Saccharomyces cerevisiae S288C: one gene and its partners. Changing the gene in region 1 together with any one later gene gives a genetic interaction. Each region holds a gene or a part of one and is shown on either strand. Other genes may lie near its edges. The genes, in order: RPN4, EAF5, VPS71 and GIM5.

Region 1 (4,688 bases):
ACTTAGGATTATGGCACATTAAGTTGCGTCCAAATGACAATGAAAAAGAGGAACTGTATACTTGGAAGAAGCCCAACAATACTGTTATAGGTATTCTCATTGGTAATCCACAAGTTGATAACCACGGTGAAGTGAACGTTGTCAATCACACAACCGGTGATCATTGCAAGTTGTATTTCAAAGCAAGGGGATGGAGGTCATCAGGAGCATATGAAATCACAGGCGAAGTCTACAACAAGAAAAAACAGAAGGTGTGGATCCTAGGAGGACACTGGAATGAAGCTATTTTTGCCAAGAAAGTAGTAAAAGATGGCGATCTCTCGTTGGAGAAAACTAGAACCGCTGCATCAGCAGGGAATGGGCCTACGGATGACGGAACGAAGTTTTTAATATGGAAGGCAAACGACCGTCCTGAGGAGCCATTCAATTTAACACCTTTTGCTATCACGCTGAATGCTCCACAACCACATCTATTGCCATGGTTACCCCCCACAGATACACGTTTGAGACCAGATCAAAGAGCAATGGAAGATGGGCGTTATGACGAAGCTGGTGATGAGAAATTCAGAGTTGAAGAAAAGCAAAGAGCAGCACGCAGAAAAAGGGAGGAAAATAACCTTGAATATCACCCACAATGGTTCGTCAGGGATACTCATCCCATCACAAAAGCTAAATATTGGAGATATACGGGCAAATATTGGGTTAAAAGAAGAGATCATGATTTGAAAGATTGTGGTGACATTTTTTAACACGCCTTTTTTATGCGAGCTTTTTTCCTGGTACTTGTATGTATTTTGAATGTATTTTATTGTACTGAATTGTATTTTATTCTACCGCACATTTGTTTCTTTTGGCATATATAGTATGTTTACTTAACAATAGGGATTTCCTTCAGTTTTCCTAGATGTATCAATTTAGTTATCTTTTCGAACACTTTGGTTATGTCACCATGGTCAGATGACCATATTATTTTGAAATCCATATAACCAATTACAAAGCAAGCAACAAGCGAGTAAATAAAATCGTTAGGCGGTTACCATAACCCTTCGTTACGACGCTAAAGTGCTATATAATGCCTCCATTACGGCTGCGATAGAACTGTGCCTAAATTAGCGGCAGAGGTTGAAAACCAATCATCACTAACGTATTCAATATTAATTGTTGAGAAAACCAACTACGGATTGTTATAGAGATCAAACTATATGCACTGAGAGGACGTTACTTCTTTTTTTACTACCTTTCTGTTCCTGTAATAACAAGTTCCGTGGAACTCAAAGAAAGGTGCCTCAGCCCGTACGAACCTTTCCACGGATAATCACGTGATCGCTATTACTAATAGCCGTTTACAGTGATGGTTCTAGAAAGTTCCGTTTCGGCGAAACTTGTTGAGGAGAGCAATTCTATATAAGGAAAGAATAGTTCGAAGCCCAATTTGGGGAAAGCCCGGGATGAGCAGCCTAACCCACACGGATAATTTTTTATCGTTCAAGGAGGAGGATACGTTTTATCTCTAATATAAATTAAAGATAAACCCGAAACTCTTTTTTCTTCTTGGCGTGGAATATTTAAGGAGTAGATCAGTTCCATTTTGTTCATCCTTTTCTCCTCAAGGAAGAACTCCGCTTTTTAGTTGAACTAATAGTAGATAGTACTAATAGCTAATTTGTATCTTTTCAAAAGTTTTCTAGAATTTTCAAGCAATCATGGCTTCTACGGAACTTAGCCTAAAAAGAACCTTAACGGATATTTTAGAAGACGAGTTGTACCATACTAATCCAGGTCACAGTCAGTTTACGAGTCATTATCAAAACTATCATCCAAATGCTAGTATTACTCCATATAAGTTGGTGAATAAGAACAAGGAAAACAACACTTTTACGTGGAATCATTCATTACAACACCAGAATGAATCGAGTGCAGCTTCGATACCCCCACAACAAACCTACCATTTCCCGATATTCAACAAATACGCGGATCCTACTTTAACTACCACCACCTCTTTTACGACTAGTGAAGCAACGGCCAACGATAGACAGATTAATAATGTCCATCTCATACCAAACGAGATTAAGGGTGCTAGCGAAACCCCATTGCAGAAGACCGTCAATCTAAAGAATATAATGAAAGTATCAGACCCGTATGTACCGACACGGAATACGTTCAATTATGATGTTAAAATTTCCAACGATTTTTTCGATAACGGTGACAATCTATATGGTAATGATGAAGAAGTGCTTTTCTATGAGGATAATTATAATCCGAAAATGCAGTGGTCACTTCAAGATAATAGCGCCGCAATAAACAATGAGGATGCGAGAGCTATTTTTAACAATGAATTTGACTCTGATGACGACGATATCAGTGATGATGAAGAGGATGAAATAGAAGAAAATTGTTTGCAACAAGAGCAACACCAAGAGGAGCCTTTACTGTCATTGGATGTTACACCAATCTCAATGTTTGGCTCAGATCAAAAAACGGGTCGTGCCAAGAGTTCTAGTCATTTATTTAATGAGTACAGTTACGTTGACTCTAACATGGACAGCATTTCCAGTGTTGTATCTGAAGATCTGTTAGATGAACGGGGACATGAGAAGATAGAGGATGAGGATGAGGATAATGATCTTGATGAAGACGATATCTACGATATCTCTCTCTTGAAGAACAGAAGAAAGCAAAGTTTTGTCCTCAATAAAAACACTATTGATTTTGAAAGATTTCCATCTCCCTCAACCTCGGCAAACGTACCGTCTACTGCTACTACCGGTAAAAGGAAACCAGCAAAATCATCCAGTAACCGTAGTTGCGTTAGTAACAGTAATGAAAACGGCACATTAGAAAGAATAAAGAAGCCTACATCAGCTGTAGTAAGCTCAAATGCTAGTAGGCGGAAGCTAATTAATTATACTAAGAAGCACTTATCTTCACATTCATCTACAAATTCGAATTCGAAACCTTCGACTGCATCACCATCGGCCCATACGTCATCTTCTGACGGTAATAACGAAATATTTACGTGTCAGATAATGAATCTCATTACAAATGAACCGTGTGGTGCCCAATTTTCAAGGTCCTATGATTTAACGAGACACCAAAATACCATTCACGCTAAAAGGAAGATTGTCTTCCGTTGCTCGGAGTGTATAAAAATTCTTGGATCTGAGGGCTATCAGAAGACGTTTTCGAGACTGGATGCTTTAACAAGGCATATAAAATCGAAGCATGAAGATTTGTCGTTAGAACAACGTCAAGAAGTTACAAAATTTGCAAAGGCTAATATTGGTTATGTCATGGGTTAATTAAGGTTACAAATTATATAGGAGATAAAAGAAGAAAACCTCACACAAAATGGAAATACATATACACATCTATATATATTTACAATATATATCATATATCTGCATTCAGGAATGTTCTTATAAATATCACATTTTTAAAGTACCTCATTGGACTTATAATAAGTTTTCTATTGGTTTTCATTATACTTCGGAAAATACACAATTATATTATATACTTACCCCCCTTAAGGATTTTTTATGAAACCCTCATTACGGACTTTCTCAGCATTGATCTTAGCAGATTCAGGATCTAGGTAGAATTTTCTGATAAACTTAAGACCATTATTCTTATCTAATTCAACGACTAAGGGGATACCATTTGGAATATCAACATTCTTGATGTCATCATCTGATATACCCTCCAGAATTTTCAGTAGCGATCTCACTGAACTTCCATGGCCCACAATCAGGCATGAAGATTCATCATATTGATTGGCTAATTTTAATATGACATTTTGTAGAAAAGGATTCAATCTATAAACCACTTCACGAAGAGATTCGGAATCCGGTAATACAATGTCATGATTGCTGCATTCCAATTCATATTTTATTTGTCTGTTTGGCTCCTTGAATTCGTACCCAGTAGAAGAGCCCTTCTCATTTTCTTGTTGAATCATCTCACGGTCAAGATCTACAGGTGGTGGCTTACCCTCGTAATCTCTCCTAATGAACATATATTTATCCTTACCATATTCTTTTAAAACATTCGGTTTCCTCTGGCCCTGCCAGGAACCGTAATGACGTTCATTTAGCCTCCAAGTTTGAAGAATCGGGATTTTCATATTATCCTTGTCATCACTGCCAAATTCGTCTCCAAGTTTGATTTTATTAAAGTCGTAAACAACCTGCAGTTGTGGCTTTAACTTAAATTCTTCACACATCGTTTCTATGGTCTGTTGGGTCCTAATTAAACGTGAGGTGTAACCAATCTGGGGTAATCTCAAATTATTAGCTTTACAATATTGTTCGATTAGCTCGGCAGAATGACGAGCTTGTTCTTTACCTTTTTCGGTTAGCTTAGCGTCAATCCAACCACAGAATATATTCTCGTGATTCAATTCACTTTGTCCATGCCTTAACAAGAACAATGTCATGACATTGGATGGTGTGCTTGCAGTCATTGTTTACTAAGTTAATATATCTATATTTTTTTTATGTATTCTTGGGTTTAAATTGAACAACCTCGTATTTGGATGTGTGTCTCGAAACACTTCTACGTATATATATAAGCTACTTTGGATTCAAAGATAATTTTGTCACGTTTGTTCTGGTGGGAAATTTCAGCCAAAGGGAAAAAAAAAGAAAACGGTGAGCTCCGTATTATCTTCGTCGTGGGGTGATAACAACATG
Region 2 (5,856 bases), on another chromosome or scaffold:
GACCAATATATGTAATTCGTAATTCAGATAGTTTTTATACTTTTAATGTGTGCCGAACCATATTACTAGTATATGTAACTACCATGTTATGTTCAATTGGCAGATCTTTAACTCGGCTTTAGTTATCCAAGTTACTTGCAATATTTCCTTCTGCGAGAGTACATTTGCCCTTAAACGTATACGAGGTATTCATTAATGTGTGTTGTAAGTATTTAGATTGACATCTATAAGAGAGATGAACATATATATATATATATATATATATATACATGCATATTTACTATAAACGCGGTTTATTCTGCCAGGCAAAGGCAATTTGCTTTTGTTCGCCAGGCTCAATGATAACGTTGATGACACTTGTTTCTCTTTTAGTCCGAGAAAGCTGCACGGCTTGTTGGAAGCATCTGCTCAGTTCGCTTATTGTGTTGACAAAAAAATCATTGGCACCCAGTCCTTTGCCTACGAGATCGTAACGGCAGTTCTTGCTTAGTGCCGTTGGAGGTAAATCACCCTCTATATCCTTTTCTCCATGGTAAATACCGCTATTGTTCATCACAACGATGACCAATGCCAGCTGACACCTTACTGCCGTTTCAATTTCCATGGCAGAGAATCCAAATGCGGAATCACCCTGAATCAGCACCACATCGAGTTCCGGATGAGATGCCTTGCATGCAAGAGCATATCCGAGCCCAATCCCCATAGTCGCGTTGGTCCCTGCGTCTAAACGGCGCCTTGGAGCGTCTGTAGGGAATGAAATACGCGCAATATCCATAGTATTTGCTCCCTCCGTCACAAGTATTGTCCTGTAATCATCGATAAGAGGCCTCAATGTTCCATAAACCTGGTTGTAATTCAATTGTGCCCCTCTAGTCTTCTCTTTCCTCAATAGACGAGTTTGATTCAGTTGAATTTTCTCTCGTATTTCTTGCTTAACACCACTATACTTCCAGCAGGAATCTTGGCGAGTCAATTCCTCAACTAAAGCGGTTACGCTCAAGCCTATATCTCCCCATATGGAAAGGTCAGCACCAGGTGAGACATTGTTATCCCCCAAGGTTTCGGGATTGGAATCGAACTGGATGAATATGGATTCTGAGTTCCATTTGGGTGAAGTACCAAAATGCAATATCCAGTTTAATCTTGCCCCGAGAACAAGAACAATATCCGCTATTTTCAATGCTTGAGATCTTGCAGATGAAACGTTCAGTGGAGAAGAGTCTGGGACAATTCCCTTAGCCATTGGGGTGGGTAAAAATGGTAGATTGAACGTATTTACTAGTCTGCGGATTTCGTGTGAGTTTTTTACCGCACCCTTTCCAATAACAATCAGAATATTTTTATTTTTATGTTGCAAAATAAGCTGTACGACTTTTTTGATCTTCGACGGATCAGGGCCACATATGTTTGGAGTTAATATCATCGGTAATTCATTTCCTGTACGGTCGTTTCCTTCTAAGGGTTTTTCATACTCAATAAAATCTGCAGGGACGTCTATGTAAGAAACCCCTGCAGTGCCTTGTATACAGTAATTCAAAGCCTTCTGAGTAATCATGTCAATATTGTCAGGGGTTAACTTTCCGGTAAACTTCAAAAATGGGGACAAAAGACTAACTTGATCCAACTCTTGAAACCCGCCTTTATGTATATCACTTTGAGAAGAACTCCCTGCAATTACTAGAAGAGGCCACCTATTACTCATTGAGTTGTATATACCAGCCAGTGCGTGGATTAAACCGGGGCCCCCGACAATAAGTAACACGCCGGGCTTATCACTAATATAACCATAAGCAGAGGCTGCATATGAGGCAGCCTGTTCGTTCCTGCATGGAATGAATTTGATACCGTTGGCAACCATCGTATCCGCTAGTTGGACAATAGGGATGCCCACAATTCCAAAGACTGTGTCGATGCCATATTTTTGTAAAAGTTGAGCGAAGTGTTGGGTAGCGGTCGTGGTCATATTGATGGATGGTTGTGACGGTTTGAATGTAGAGAGTATATTCTTCTTATCACATAAAAGTAACCAATGCCTTTTTTTTCCTTTATATATAATGTGGTTATATACCAACCTTTTGTAAATTTCCAACTTTTTTCTTTAGTTAGCTTTGCTTGAACTTCGGGCCGAAGGGCTCGGATAAGAGAAACAATAATTTTGTTTTCATAAAACATCGATGGCTTGACTACTTCTTTTATCCTGTTCCTGAGATTCTTTCATCTTGGCGATCTTACACCTTAGTTCCATAATAGGGTCTCTTACAAAATCCCTCATTGAAACGACTTGAGAACACGCTGCTTGCGGGCAATCTCTTGTCGTGTATCCTTGTAAATAGTTTTGAATGCCGTCTCTATCGAAGACGTGATTACATTTTCTTGATATCAATGGTGCTTCGTAAGGTTTGCAGGTGATAGGACAAGTCAATTCAATTTTACCACCTTCTATTTGTAGATCGTCTTCGTCTGCGGGGTTTTGCAGATCCGGTATTACACAAGTTGGATCATTCCATATGTACGGCAACACTTTTAGTATCTTGAGTGTATCTGTGTTATTAACCATGGTTGCAGGCTCTGGTGTGGGCATATTTAGATATAATTCAGATAATTTGGGAGCGGTGAGTTCTCCGGTACGATATTTATCCCAGGTAGAAAGGTCGATTTGCGGACAGGCATCTGAGGATTGTTTGAAATTTTTTTTTAAATCTTTAATATGTTCGTCAAATGAGTTGGATTCCGATTCGTATGTCGAGAGGAGTTTGTAGGTGCTAGTAATATCTGCGACCTGCTCTTCAATGCCGATGGTGGAAGGAGATGTAGAATCCACTAATTGATTTATGGTCTCATCAATTTGTTTGTAGCATTGTTGATATATATTTGATAAGTCTCGGGCATGTAAATTATGGAAGTACTTACCTGATTTTGGGTGTAGAGGAACTGACTTGGGTATAGGATTATCGTTCAAGGCCATTTTTAAAGTTATTCTTTTTTTATATAGTCTTGCCTTGGTTTCTTTAACTGACACGATTATTTTAGCAAGTTTTTTTCTACACAGGAAAAGAGGAAGAAAATAACCAGAGAAGCACTGGTAAAAAGATACTTCTGCGTGCCGGAGTAACCAGAATCAAAGGAACGCATAGATGGATAAAGAGGTAAGTGAATTGGTAGTGTTGCAGCTAATACACACTTTAATTTCCAACAAGAATGAAGAACTGGTTAGGAACGGGGGAGGAATCAACATGATTGGGAATAATCTTCGAATATCGCTAGTCAAGTTGACTAACGAAATACAAAACAATTTGCTAATCAACGAGCTGACAAATTTAAGAAGGCAAAGCAACGTGGCAAATGGAAACAGGAAACTGGGCATCAACGATATCCTGACCATAGTTAAGAATTTATTCCCAGAGTACAGAACAACACTAAACGATGGACAACTTAGTCTACACGGTTTGGAAATGCATGATATCGAGAAGCTCCTTGACGAAAAGTACGATCGATTCAAGAAAACGCAGGTCGAACAAATAAGGATGATGGAGGATGAGATATTGAAGAACGGTATAAAGACCGGTGCATCGCAACTGCAACCACATGCAAATGCTGGCAAAAGTGGATCTGCTGGTACCAGTGCTACTATAACTACGACTACGCCACACATGGCGCATTCAATGGACCCAAAAAGAGAAAAACTATTGAAATTATACAGAGATACCGTTCTGAATAAATTGGAAAGTAAAACTGGGAATTTTCAGAAGCTATTCAAGAGTCCCGATGGTAGCATTATCAAGAATGAGATAAATTACGAAGACATAAAGAACGAAACGCCCGGCAGCGTTCATGAACTGCAGCTGATTCTTCAAAAGAGCATAACGGACGGTGTAATGCGAAAGGTCATTGGTACGGACGACTGGAAATTGGCTAGACAAGTGCAGTTTGAATTGGATGATACGGTGCAGTTCATGAGAAGAGCACTAGAGTAAGGAGATAGTAGGCGACACTTCGAAAATCTAAAGTCTTGTAACATTACTATTATATACTATTTTATTAAAAAAATACACACACAATTCTTTAACAGAACAATATATAACAAATGAAGCGACATGTTTCTCAAAAAAAAACATAGTAGGTAGGTAAAAATGGGAAAGAACGGGACAAACAAAACGAAGAGCAGGGTGTATTTGCCCACACACGGCAAACAACATCCATTCACGCCCGCATGCCCAAAACTTTTTTGCGATAAAACGCCCACGCAAATCACATCGTTCCAACAGAGGAATCGAACAGCACAGATACAAAGTAGGAATATAGCACACACACAGGAAAAATTAATTAATTATTAGAAATTAAAAGGGTTGGGGAGAAAAGAGGTCTAATTTATTCATTAATATTCAGTAATTGAAAAAAAAAAAAAAAAGAGGATAACTAAGAGAAAACAACATCAAGCTCGTTTGGCTTGCTAGTGATCGCTTAGAATCTTTGTAAACCTCTTTGTCTAGCTTGCCATTTTCTGTAGATAATGGTAGAAATGATGGCGATACAAGCCAAACCGACTAGAATAAAAACTAAGATAACACCACCTGGTAACGTGCTCATCAACATCTTTGTATAATTGTTATTGTACTATTTATTGTTTTGTATGTATACGATGGAGAAAAAGAGAAAGGAAGAAGGAAGGACGAAAGAGAAAAAACTGGAAGGGAAGAAGAATTGATTTTATATTAACCAAGAGGAAGGAAAGGAAATTGAGTTGTGATTACGGAATTTTAGTTTTTTTCACTGTTTATTTAAACCAAAAGGTGTGGAAGAGAAAGAGAGAAAAAAGTTCTGTAATTCGTTAAGGAAATTAAGTATCCGCGCCGGAAAAATAGCGAGAGGTTTTTTTTGATGCAAAAGCTAGGGAGGGCTGCGGACGGATTTCGAAAACAGCTCAACAGCGTGGTGACGAGTTGCGTCAGGGTGTTGGCCAGTGCTACCGCGGGCGGCGCTGCACAGGGAGTAAGCAGAGCGGGCTAGAGCGCGGTTTTGGAGAGGGCCCGGGCTGCTGTGGTCGTAGGATTGCGGTAATTTAGTGGCTCGCCCTCGTTTGTCGTGCTTTTTCCGAGTTCCGAAACTCTTTCCCGAGCTGTTAATGTGCTAAAAGTGGTAAATCGTATATGATGATATACGTATATGATGATAATTTCCTGCGCGCTACTTGCGTGCATTCGTCACTCATAACAAAAAGAACTACACAATACGTAAACAACGTGCGAAAATATCTATATACAAGGGGAGAAAACAAAAGTGAAAGTGCATTACAGCCCATCACAGATCATTATAATACAATATGCCGACCAAGTCAACTTTTAGTCGCTGGAAGAAGGCGGACCTAATTGACCTGGCCAACAAGCTGGAAATTGACGGCTTCCCCAATTATGCCAAGAAGAGTGATATGATCGATTACCTCGAATCGCACTTGAATCATCTTGAGAAACCTGTGGATTTTAAAGACGACTACCCGGAACTAAGGTCCTTTTATGAGTCGATGACAGTGGACCAGTCAAAGGATGAACGGAACGAATACGGATCCGGATCTGGAAACGGGTCTGGGTCTGGATCCTGTGACACCGCCACAAATGATTCCGATCTGGAGAAAGCGTACATCAAGGAGGATGATGATGAGAAACCGCAATCAGGCGATGAAACAAGCGCGACAAAGCCGCTTTCCAGCAGGAATGCAAATTCAAACGCCAAAACGAACTTCAATTTGTTGGATTTTAGCACAGATAACGACTCGTCCACCTCTGCGTTTACTAAGTTCAAGTTTAACTTTCAGGAATACCTCTCCGATATTAGATACCAAACGCAGAAATTGAATGAAAA
Region 3 (5,786 bases), on another chromosome or scaffold:
CTTAATTTCAGTTTCATTATCTTCTAATGATCTTTTCTTACTGTTGATAGTAGTATAGGCATTAGAGTCACCAATACCACCCAAACTGGAATTAGTTTGATGAGAATTTATCGGTGGGAGTTCTTTAAATGGGTCAGGGAATTCGGTAGGAGATTCTGGAGGTAGATCAGGGAGTGGGAGATCAGCGATGATAGATTCCTCGGTATTCTGTTCAGAAACAGTAGTTGGCGTTTTGATAGGAACAATATTGTGCGATGAATTATTTTCCGGTGGAGAAGCATCGATTGAAGGTGAACGGTGTATAATCCTTTTCTCAGTCTCTTGGTCACTTATCTGCGGAACAGTTTTGTTGTTGGTACCACCCGTACTGGATATTGGTACGTTTGTATGATTAGTCTCATTTTCACTGTACGAGTCTGAGTGTCTGAAATCTTTAGATTTACTGGCGTGCGACGACTCATGTGTGTTAGATTGGGACATGGGAGCAAGTAAAGGAACATTTAATTTATGCATACCACCCGAACCGGTACTCTCGATATTGGAAATTTGGGGGGTGCTAGATCTCTTCTTTGATGGAAGAATATTAGATTCAGATATGTTGGGGTCAACTTCTCTGGGTGCGCGAATATTGGTTTTAGAAACACGTTTCGAATCTTCAGTATGAGTTGACGGAGGTGTGGAATCGGTTGGACTCACAGCTTTTGAAAGGACATTTCTCGGTTGCTCAGGATGTAGTTCGATGTCAGATTGGAAGTCATGGTCAGATTCTATGTTAAGATCATCGGATTGTTGGATCTCATTTGACGCAATGAACGATTGATATGAAGCAGTTAAACGGTTTAAGTCTTCATCGAAAGTGAGTGCGTCGTAATTGAATTGATCTAATCTGGATTCCTTGCCCTGAAGAATAACATAGTTAGTTGTATCTACTGTCTTCTTTAAGGATGGAAGATAGATGATATATCCATAAGAGTTTCGAGACGGATGTAGAGCGTAGCCTGGGATGCCACGAGGATGTATTTTGGAGTTAGGGTTGTGATCATTGACGATAACAGGTTGACCGAAAGGTAACAAAGTACTGATATCAAGTCCTGCCAAGCCAGCATGTTGTCTTGCAGATTTTTTGCTTTTAGGTGAAGCTAGTGAATTTCTCACAATAGTAGAAAATTCGATTGCAGAGAACCATAAATGGTTCGGTAAACCACTACATTGCAGTTGAGTACGGCAGTCATCTAATAAGGTACGGTTGAGCCGTTCAGCGACTCCATGTGCTCGGGAATCCGCTGTGGTTGTATAGCATGGAGTTATACCATTTTTTTCAAGGAATTTATGGAGAGTTCTGTTAGTATACTCAGAACCACGGTCCATTTGTATAACCAAGACACTGGCCTGAAACTGGTTCTTAATAAAAGCTAGTATCGTAGTAAAAACATCGAGGATAGAGTCCTCGCGACGGTCGTGTAATGGATAAACCCAACGGAATTTTGTTGTCTCATCAGTAAATGAGATGAAATAGGATGGTGCACTTTTTGGTAGGTTGTGAACTGGACCAAATATGTCAGTATGTAGGTATTGAAAGGGTTCGTATGAATTTTGGTATTTTAGTCGTGAACCTTTGATATGTCTGTGTTTGGTGCTTTTGCCGATTAAACAATCAGGACATTGATAGTCAATAGCACTAGACCTGTCGACATCTGATTCGTTAAAATACGTGATGGTGTTATTTTTAAGTGAGTATCGAATTGTCTGTGCATTGGCATGTGCAAGCATTCGATGAATGAAAGGATAAGGATATTTGCGTGTACTTTCACTTGTATGGACATTATTGATGGTGGGTACGGAGATATTTGATGGAAGCAAGTACTTTTTAGATACCCAGTAAAAGTCTCCATATTTTACGATAGGTGCAAGTACAGTGCCGTCAGATCGTTCTAAGACGTTTTTGGTAAAGCATGCTGTGATATCTACTGCAGCCAATTCATTCAAACTGAGTAAGTCATAGGCTATGTTAGGAGTGTGCAATACCTTTATTGATGTTTTGGTGTTGTCCTGGAAGTGAAATTGTAGGTCACCAATAGCGTTAATTGGTATATTTCTTTTTTGAGCATCAACTACGTTTATGTCAGGATTAGATGATGCTGAGTGTATGTGATGAGCAGATCTTATAAGGGTTCGTGATGCTCCTGAATCGAGAAGGAGGTGTCCAGGGAGTTCATCATCAGAATGATTAGTGTGATTTACCGTAGATTCAGTAAGTTCCTGGCCTAAGGTGAAGGTCGTGCTTATTGTTCAATTGAATCGGTTCAGTAGTTGATTTACTGATGGAATCGTTGTCCGTGCTGGGAGAGTTATTAGATGTGGATACATTGTGAGCCCTGGCTGTTTTCGATTTCGAATTATTTGTTTTTTGAGGATTCCGAGCTATAACTTTGGGTTTGGTTGTATTCGTATAGCTGCGAGAATCATTCTTCTCATCACTCAGATTTCTCCTGTAATTAGGTTTGCTGTTTCTCGATCCCTGTTGTTCTTCATAAATAGCATGGATATCTAAGAACAGTTCAGCGACTGTCATATTTAGATGTCGATGACGTGTGTAGCGTAAAAATTTATATTCGCCAGATAGACCTCTCATAATTAATTGGCATGCGACCTTGTTATTGATATGAATGCCATTATTGTTCAGTCTGTCGATAATGTTTGTGACTTTTGTTTCAAATGCATCTGCAGGTGTACTGCCATTATATTGCAAATTTGCCAGGGTCACAATGTCGTTTGCCTCTTGGGTATCAGATTGCATTTTTTCAATACTTTTGGAAAGAATTTTCATGATATCCGTATAATCAACGGATAGGATGTCTTTGACCCAGGTAGGTAGGAATTGAGAGGGAGCAAATATTTGAAAAGTGTTATACAAGAAGGTGAGTTCATCATCAGTGATCTGACGTACGGGTTTTCCGTTTACTGTCGGAATAATACCACCGAGATTCGAGTTTTGTAAAAATTTGATGTATGTTTTAACCCAATTTGGAAAGTCATTAGGTGAGGTTAACATTGGTGGTGGTCTGACATATTTTTTAGTGGATGTCATATCAGAGTCCGCTGAGGATGAATCAGTAAATGTATTACCTGACTCAGGTGATGGAGTGCTCAGAGGCGTTCCAACTGATGATGGATACTGCGGAAACTGTGATTGTGGCCCAGGTGGAAAGTACATAGGCGACATTTGATAAGGTGTATACGGAATCATAGATGGGTGTCCGTAAAATGACCAACCAGATGGATTGGCTTGGTTTTGGGTCATCATGCACTGCTGTGGGTACGGCCCATTCTGTGGAGGTGGTACTGAAGCAGGTTGAGGAGAGGCATGATGGGGGTTCTCTGGAACAGCTGATGAAGCAGGTGTTGTTGTCTGTTGAGAGTTAGCCTTAGTGGAAGCCTTCTCACATTCTTCTGTTTTGGAAGCTGAAACGTCTAACGGATCTTGATTTGTGTGGACTTCCTTAGAAGTAACCGAAGCACAGGCGCTACCATGAGAAATATGTGAATGTTGAGATAATTGTTGGGATTCCATTGTTGATAAAGGCTATAATATTAGGTATACAGAATATACTAGAAGTTCTCCTCGAGGATATAGGAATCCTCAAAATGGAATCTATATTTCTACATACTAATATTACGATTATTCCTCATTCCGTTTTATATGTTTATATTCATTGATCCTATTACATTATCAATCCTTGCGTTTCAGCTTCCACTAATTTAGATGACTATTTCTCATCATTTGCGTCATCTTCTAACACCGTATATGATAATATACTAGTAATGTAAATACTAGTTAGTAGATGATAGTTGATTTCTATTCCAACAACTAGTAACACGAATACTACTAAACAAATGATATTTTAGAGTTCCATTTCAACATTATGCACTCAATATTCATTATTGTTGTTAAGGGCTTAATATTGTAGTTGTCAGAAAACTTTTACTATTCGGTGATTCCTTAGTGGCTAAGATTCACAAGTTCACAAGGGCGTGTGGTCTAGTGGTATGATTCTCGCTTTGGGCGACTTCCTGATTAAACAGGAAGACAAAGCATGCGAGAGGCCCTGGGTTCAATTCCCAGCTCGCCCCTTTTTTTGATATTTTTTTTGGAGTATTACAAAAACGACCATTCATTAAGGAAGTGAAGTCGGTGGAATAGCTAGAGAGCTTATATTTATTTAGTCGTTGCTTTATGTAACGAAGCAATCAATAAAATATTTGTGTTCTGTAGAAATAACTTTGATCCGGGTAATAGATAATTAATAACTACTTTTTTTATAATGAACATGATGATCTTTGTGAGTATTAACAAAAGTCGAAGCGGCCCTTTCAATCTATAGTAACGTCGATATCATTGATAGATCGAAGAAAAAGAACGGATCGCTTACTCATAACAGCGAAATGAAGGCGCTAGTTGAAGAGATTGATAAGAAAACTTACAATCCTGACATATATTTCACGTCATTGGATCCTCAAGCACGTCGATATACTTCAAAGAAGATTAATAAGCAAGGCACAATATCCACCTCTAGGCCCGTAAAGCGCATAAACTACTCACTGGCAGATTTAGAGGCCAGGTTATATACTTCGAGATCTGAGGGAGATGGCAATAGTATAAGCAGACAGGATGACCGAAATAGTAAGAATTCCCATTCATTTGAAGAAAGGTACACACAACAAGAGATTCTCCAGTCGGACAGGAGGTTTATGGAACTTAACACAGAAAATTTCTCGGATTTACCAAATGTACCGACTTTATTAAGTGATCTCACAGGCGTACCACGAGATAGAATTGAATCAACAACCAAACCGATCTCACAGACCTCGGATGGTCTCTCTGCATTAATGGGTGGTTCTTCTTTTGTAAAAGAGCATTCCAAGTATGGTCATGGTTGGGTGCTTAAACCAGAAACCTTACGGGAAATACAATTATCGTATAAATCTACAAAACTACCTAAACCAAAGAGGAAGAATACCAATCGTATTGTGGCGTTAAAGAAGGTTTTAAGTTCAAAAAGAAATTTACATTCGTTTTTAGATTCTGCGCTGCTAAACTTGATGGATAAGAATGTCATTTACCACAATGTTTACAATAAACGATACTTCAAAGTGTTACCCCTAATTACGACATGCTCTATTTGCGGTGGCTACGATAGTATTTCAAGTTGCGTTAATTGTGGAAATAAGATTTGTTCTGTAAGTTGTTTTAAATTGCATAATGAAACTAGGTGCAGAAATAGATAGTAATGATCAGTATGTATTCGTAAGCCCTTTTTTCTCCCCTATTTATACGTATGTAAGTGTAGATACTTAACAAAAATATTCACAAATTAATTGAAGAGGAAAGGTGAAAAATTCATAACTTTGCTTTTCGTTTATTCTCATTTTCCAAGGCGTCAAAAATTTCATCAGCAGCTTGAGATAAATAATAGTGTAATCTGTTAACACTGGCTCCACTCTTGGCTGGTTTGTTGACAATATTGATATGCAGCCACTCGTTATTCAACATGTATGCCAGTCCAAACCCGTTGTCATTTACTTGAGACCAACCATAACCGTCAAAATATTCCGAAGATAGTTGAGATGTGGAGATCAACCAAGTTGAAGAATAATTAAATAAGGGATCTTTGAAAAGGGGCGGAATTTGGTCATCATTAGATTTTAGCATATTCTTTAGACCGAAGAAATGACGATCGACACCATTACCATTTGCAGCATTTTTCAGGTACGTAGAATGCTCTTTT
Region 4 (5,331 bases), on another chromosome or scaffold:
GTCCATACATCCCAGGCATATTGAAAACTCTCCTATTGCGGTACTATTCTCAGGAGGAATTGATTGTTCAGTAATAGTAGCGTTGATCTGCGAGGTGTTGCAAGAAAATGATTATAAATGTGGAAAACCAGTTATAGAGCTTCTAAATGTATCCTTCGAAAACCCCAGGACTGGTCTTTTTCCCAGTGATACACCTGATAGAAAACTGTCCATTAACAGTGCAAAGACTTTACAAAACTTATATCCTAATGTTGATATCAAACTGGTTGAAGTTGACGTTCCTTATGATGAGTATTTAAAATGGAAGCCATTTGTTATCAATTTAATGTATCCTAAACAGACTGAAATGGACTTGTCTATAGCCATTGCTTTTTTTTTTGCGTCGAGAGGTAGAGGTTTCTTAACTTCTCTGAATGGGGAAAGAACGCCATATCAGCGCCATGGGATAGTGTTATTCAGCGGACTGGGAGCAGACGAACTCTACGGTGGATATCACAAGTTTGCCAACAAACCACCCCATGAACTTGTGGAGGAACTTACAAGGCAAATAAACAACATTTATGATCGCAACCTGAATCGTGATGATAAAGTGATAGCTCATAATGGCGTGGAGGTGAGATACCCATTTTTAGATGAATATGTTATAAAGTTATCTACAGCAGAAATTCCCATTAATTTCAAGGTTAACAAATTAATCCTTCGAAAAGTTGCCTCGCAGTATTTGAAGTTGGATGGAATATCATCAGAACCAAAAAGGGCCATTCAATTCGGTGCTAAAAGCGCTAAAATGACAAAGGATGGTAATAAGCATGGAACAGATTTATTAAAAGAAAATAGGAATTGTTCATAAATTCAAATATTCAATATATTTTGCAGCTTGTTCAAAATTAAATGCTAAAAGTAGAGTAAATCCGTTGAACATACATAGTTTTGTAATGTCATTAAGGGTATCTTCAGAGTTGTTATCGTCTACTATGAATATCAGTATATTATTTTCGTTTCTAGATAAGGGCTGCATTCTCCTAGAGATATAATCGACATATAATTTGTGATAAGTCAAAGTTAAGAACAGTACACTTCTTCCACGAACTAGATAGTCGTAGTATATCATATTAATTCCTGTTGAAGATACATATCTCCAATTGGTGCTCTTTAAGTGGTTCAGGAGTGGATTTTCTTTTTGGGTAGTGTTCACTAGTACAGTTTTTCCCGGTCGAGTACTCCTGAAGGGTCTCTTTCGATTATAGTCATCTGTAGCCTTTGAGTCGGTCCATTCTTCCGGTTTTTGCTGATTGAAGGCGTTTATGACCTGGTTTGAATTTATGCGTCTTGATGTTTGCGGTTCCTGCTGCTGGAGTTTTGATGCATCTATTTCTAACGATTGAGATCCAGTAGTATCTGCACCACTCTTTTCCTTTCTCAATTTGGCCACACCAGCCAATATACTTTCAAATGAAGTAGGATCAGTATTGTTCATCTTCTAGGATAACCAACTTTGTTTATGCCCTTTTTTGTGTTGCGTGGCTGTCTCATAAGTTACAATTTTCTTTTTTGTTCTAACGATTTTAAATAGAAAAGTGTCTTAGATGAAAATCTTGCTGTGACCCAAACAAGAAAGAGCACTGTAAAAATCAAGCCATGTCCTCTCAAAAAAGTATGTAAATGAATAGCTCCTTCGTTGTTGCCACCGTACAGACACTTTACTAACTTTTAAGTTACTACATGTTCGAAACTTAGTCGATTTAACTAAACTAAATCCCGAGCAGCTGAATGCTGTAAAACAGCAATTCGACCAAGAATTGCAGCATTTCACACAGTCCTTGCAAGCATTAACCATGGCTAAGGGCAAGTTCACAGAATGTATTGATGATATTAAAACAGTCTCCCAAGCAGGAAATGAAGGGCAAAAACTACTGGTTCCAGCATCTGCATCATTATACATCCCAGGTAAGATTGTAGACAATAAGAAATTCATGGTCGACATTGGTACAGGATATTACGTTGAAAAGAGCGCTGAAGCAGCAATCGCATTTTACCAAAAGAAAGTAGACAAGCTTAACAAAGAATCTGTACAGATCCAAGATATTATTAAGGAAAAGACCCAGTATTCCTTGTCCATCGAGGCCCAAATAAGACAAGCCGCTATTAGACAGCATGAAGCGATGAGTAAACAACAACAGCAGCAACAAAAAAAGGAGTCGTCTACAGCCTAGGTAACTCTTTTGCTTTTCCTACGATTTTTCATATCTCATTTGTAGCCATCTGATATACGTTTATCTATATGCAACGTAATTTTTTATTTATCGTCACTTTGTAGTTTTCCGGAAAAGGCCATTGAAAATTTTTCAAATTCCTATGGCGATGAGCTGAAAAAATTCATTAAGTGTGCATTCAATAACATCTTGTTATATACTAATAAAAGAGGCTTCAAGACAAAATAAGCTAACTTAAATATGGCAAAAAAGAAATCTAAGAGCAGATCCAAGAGTTCTAGAAGAGTTTTGGATGCTTTGCAACTTGCTGAGAGAGAAATTAATGGTGAATTCGATAACTCCAGCGACAATGACAAAAGACATGATGCTCGTCGTAATGGTACAGTTGTCAACTTGTTAAAAAGGTCAAAAGGTGACACTAACAGTGATGAAGATGATATCGATTCTGAGTCGTTTGAAGATGAGGAGTTGAACTCTGATGAAGCGTTGGGCTCTGATGATGACTATGACATTTTGAATTCCAAATTCTCACAAACTATTCGTGACAAGAAGGAGAATGCAAACTACCAAGAAGAAGAGGATGAAGGTGGGTATACTTCCATTGATGAAGAAGATTTGATGCCACTGTCTCAAGTGTGGGACATGGATGAGAAAACCGCACAGAGTAACGGCAATGATGACGAAGACGCTTCTCCACAATTAAAATTGCAAGATACAGATATAAGTTCCGAATCAAGCAGTTCCGAAGAAAGCGAATCGGAATCTGAAGATGATGAAGAGGAAGAGGATCCCTTCGACGAAATATCTGAAGATGAAGAAGACATCGAATTGAATACAATTACCTCAAAACTGATTGATGAAACCAAAAGTAAAGCTCCAAAGAGACTAGATACGTATGGCTCAGGTGAGGCCAATGAGTATGTTTTGCCCTCTGCAAATGCAGCTAGTGGAGCTTCTGGGAAATTGAGTTTGACGGATATGATGAACGTTATTGATGACAGGCAAGTTATTGAAAACGCTAACTTGCTTAAGGGTAAGTCGTCGACGTATGAAGTTCCGCTACCACAACGTATCCAACAAAGACACGATCGTAAGGCAGCATACGAGATCTCTAGGCAAGAAGTGAGTAAGTGGAATGATATCGTCCAACAGAACAGAAGGGCTGATCATTTAATCTTCCCGCTGAACAAACCCACCGAACATAACCACGCCTCGGCTTTCACTAGAACTCAAGATGTTCCTCAAACAGAATTACAGGAGAAGGTAGATCAAGTTCTTCAAGAGAGTAATTTAGCGAACCCAGAAAAAGACTCAAAGTTTGAAGAGTTGAGCACTGCTAAAATGACACCCGAGGAGATGAGAAAGAGGACTACCGAAATGAGATTGATGAGAGAATTGATGTTTAGAGAAGAAAGAAAAGCTAGGAGGTTGAAGAAAATAAAATCTAAGACATATCGTAAGATCAAGAAAAAGGAATTGATGAAAAATAGAGAGCTAGCTGCTGTTTCCAGCGACGAAGACAACGAAGATCATGATATCGCTAGGGCTAAAGAAAGAATGACTCTAAAACACAAGACAAATTCCAAGTGGGCTAAAGATATGATCAAACATGGTATGACAAATGACGCTGAAACCAGAGAAGAAATGGAAGAGATGCTAAGACAAGGTGAACGTTTAAAGGCAAAAATGTTGGATAGAAATTCTGATGATGAAGAGGATGGTCGTGTGCAAACATTAAGTGATGTTGAAAATGAGGAGAAAGAGAATATAGACTCAGAAGCATTGAAGAGTAAATTGGGTAAAACTGGCGTAATGAATATGGCCTTTATGAAGAATGGTGAAGCTAGAGAAAGAGAGGCGAACAAAGAAACCTTACGTCAATTAAGGGCCGTTGAAAATGGTGATGATATTAAGCTCTTCGAAAGTGACGAGGAAGAGACGAATGGAGAGAATATTCAAATAAATAAGGGCAGAAGAATATATACCCCAGGTTCCTTGGAATCCAACAAAGACATGAATGAACTAAATGACCACACTAGAAAAGAGAATAAAGTTGACGAATCAAGAAGTTTGGAAAACCGACTAAGGGCCAAGAATAGTGGGCAATCGAAAAATGCAAGAACTAACGCAGAAGGCGCAATAATTGTGGAGGAGGAAAGTGATGGTGAACCTCTTCAAGACGGTCAGAATAATCAACAGGATGAAGAAGCAAAAGATGTTAATCCTTGGTTAGCTAATGAAAGTGATGAAGAACACACTGTCAAGAAACAATCTTCCAAAGTTAACGTTATTGACAAAGACAGTTCTAAAAATGTTAAGGCCATGAACAAAATGGAGAAAGCTGAGCTAAAGCAAAAGAAAAAGAAGAAAGGTAAGTCAAACGATGATGAAGATCTCTTGTTGACGGCGGATGATTCTACACGGCTAAAGATAGTCGATCCATATGGTGGTTCTGATGACGAACAAGGGGATAATGTATTCATGTTCAAGCAGCAAGACGTCATTGCGGAAGCCTTTGCTGGCGACGACGTGGTAGCAGAATTTCAGGAGGAAAAGAAACGTGTCATTGATGATGAAGATGATAAAGAAGTTGATACCACTTTACCTGGTTGGGGTGAATGGGCCGGTGCAGGTTCTAAACCAAAAAATAAGAAGCGTAAATTCATCAAAAAGGTTAAGGGTGTTGTTAATAAAGACAAAAGAAGAGATAAGAATCTACAAAATGTGATCATAAATGAAAAAGTTAATAAGAAAAACTTGAAATACCAATCTTCAGCGGTACCATTCCCATTCGAAAATAGAGAACAATATGAAAGATCTTTACGTATGCCGATAGGTCAAGAATGGACATCCAGAGCATCTCATCAAGAGCTTATCAAACCGAGAATCATGACTAAGCCAGGCCAAGTTATTGATCCTTTGAAGGCACCATTTAAGTAACTGATATTTATTGGTGGTAAAAAAATGCATATGTGGCACATTCCACTTTTTATATCTATTTATTATGCATTGTGTAGAATAGTAATACTGGAATAATTAGAAAAAAATCATTTAAAGGTTATGTAAGTTATATACACAATTGGCTTTCTTTTGGATAAGTTGAGTGAGATGGGTGATT

Evidence for each region.
Region 2: mutations in RPN4 (region 1) and EAF5 together harm fitness more than expected from each alone (negative genetic interaction), as found in Saccharomyces cerevisiae (6 studies listed by BioGRID, with this or other methods).
Region 3: mutations in RPN4 (region 1) and VPS71 together harm fitness more than expected from each alone (negative genetic interaction), as found in Saccharomyces cerevisiae (5 studies listed by BioGRID, with this or other methods).
Region 4: mutations in RPN4 (region 1) and GIM5 together harm fitness more than expected from each alone (negative genetic interaction), as found in Saccharomyces cerevisiae (8 studies listed by BioGRID, with this or other methods).

Annotation. Positions count from the first base shown.
Region 1 is NC_001136.10:413,724-418,411, reverse strand, and holds RPN4 (stress-regulated transcription factor RPN4), read left to right. Parts: upstream 1-1,703; coding exon 1,704-3,299; downstream 3,300-4,688. Other genes in the region: oxysterol-binding protein related protein OSH2, read left to right, coding at 1-749; phosphoglycerate mutase family protein GPM2, read right to left, coding at 3,524-4,459. UniProt on the Saccharomyces cerevisiae protein: Acts as a transcriptional activator of a number of genes encoding proteasomal subunits. Binds to a PACE (proteasome-associated control element) DNA sequence 5'-GGTGGCAAA-3'.
Region 2 is NC_001137.3:118,337-124,192, forward strand, and holds EAF5 (Eaf5p), read left to right. Parts: upstream 1-3,134; coding exon 3,135-3,974; downstream 3,975-5,856. Other genes in the region: PXP1 (putative indolepyruvate decarboxylase family protein), read right to left, coding at 281-1,963; SUMO ligase MMS21, read right to left, coding at 2,162-2,965; PMP2 (proteolipid ATPase), read right to left, coding at 4,462-4,593; GTT3 (Gtt3p), read left to right, coding at 5,321-5,856. UniProt on the Saccharomyces cerevisiae protein: Component of the NuA4 histone acetyltransferase complex which is involved in transcriptional activation of selected genes principally by acetylation of nucleosomal histone H4 and H2A. The NuA4 complex is also involved in DNA repair.
Region 3 is NC_001145.3:194,413-200,198, reverse strand, and holds VPS71 (Vps71p), read left to right. Parts: upstream 1-4,443; coding exon 4,444-5,286; downstream 5,287-5,786. Other genes in the region: YML040W (gag protein), read right to left, coding at 2,249-3,571; carnitine O-acetyltransferase CAT2, read right to left, coding at 5,399-5,786. UniProt on the Saccharomyces cerevisiae protein: Participates in the catalytic exchange of histone H2A for the H2A variant HZT1, an euchromatin-specific factor, leading to chromatin remodeling and changes in transcription of targeted genes. Indirectly involved in vacuolar protein sorting.
Region 4 is NC_001145.3:80,637-85,967, forward strand, and holds GIM5 (Gim5p), read left to right. Parts: upstream 1-1,638; coding exon 1,639-1,654; intron 1,655-1,737; coding exon 1,738-2,213; downstream 2,214-5,331. Other genes in the region: YML096W (putative asparagine synthase), read left to right, coding at 1-850; DNA repair protein RAD10, read right to left, coding at 845-1,477; UTP14 (Utp14p), read left to right, coding at 2,454-5,153.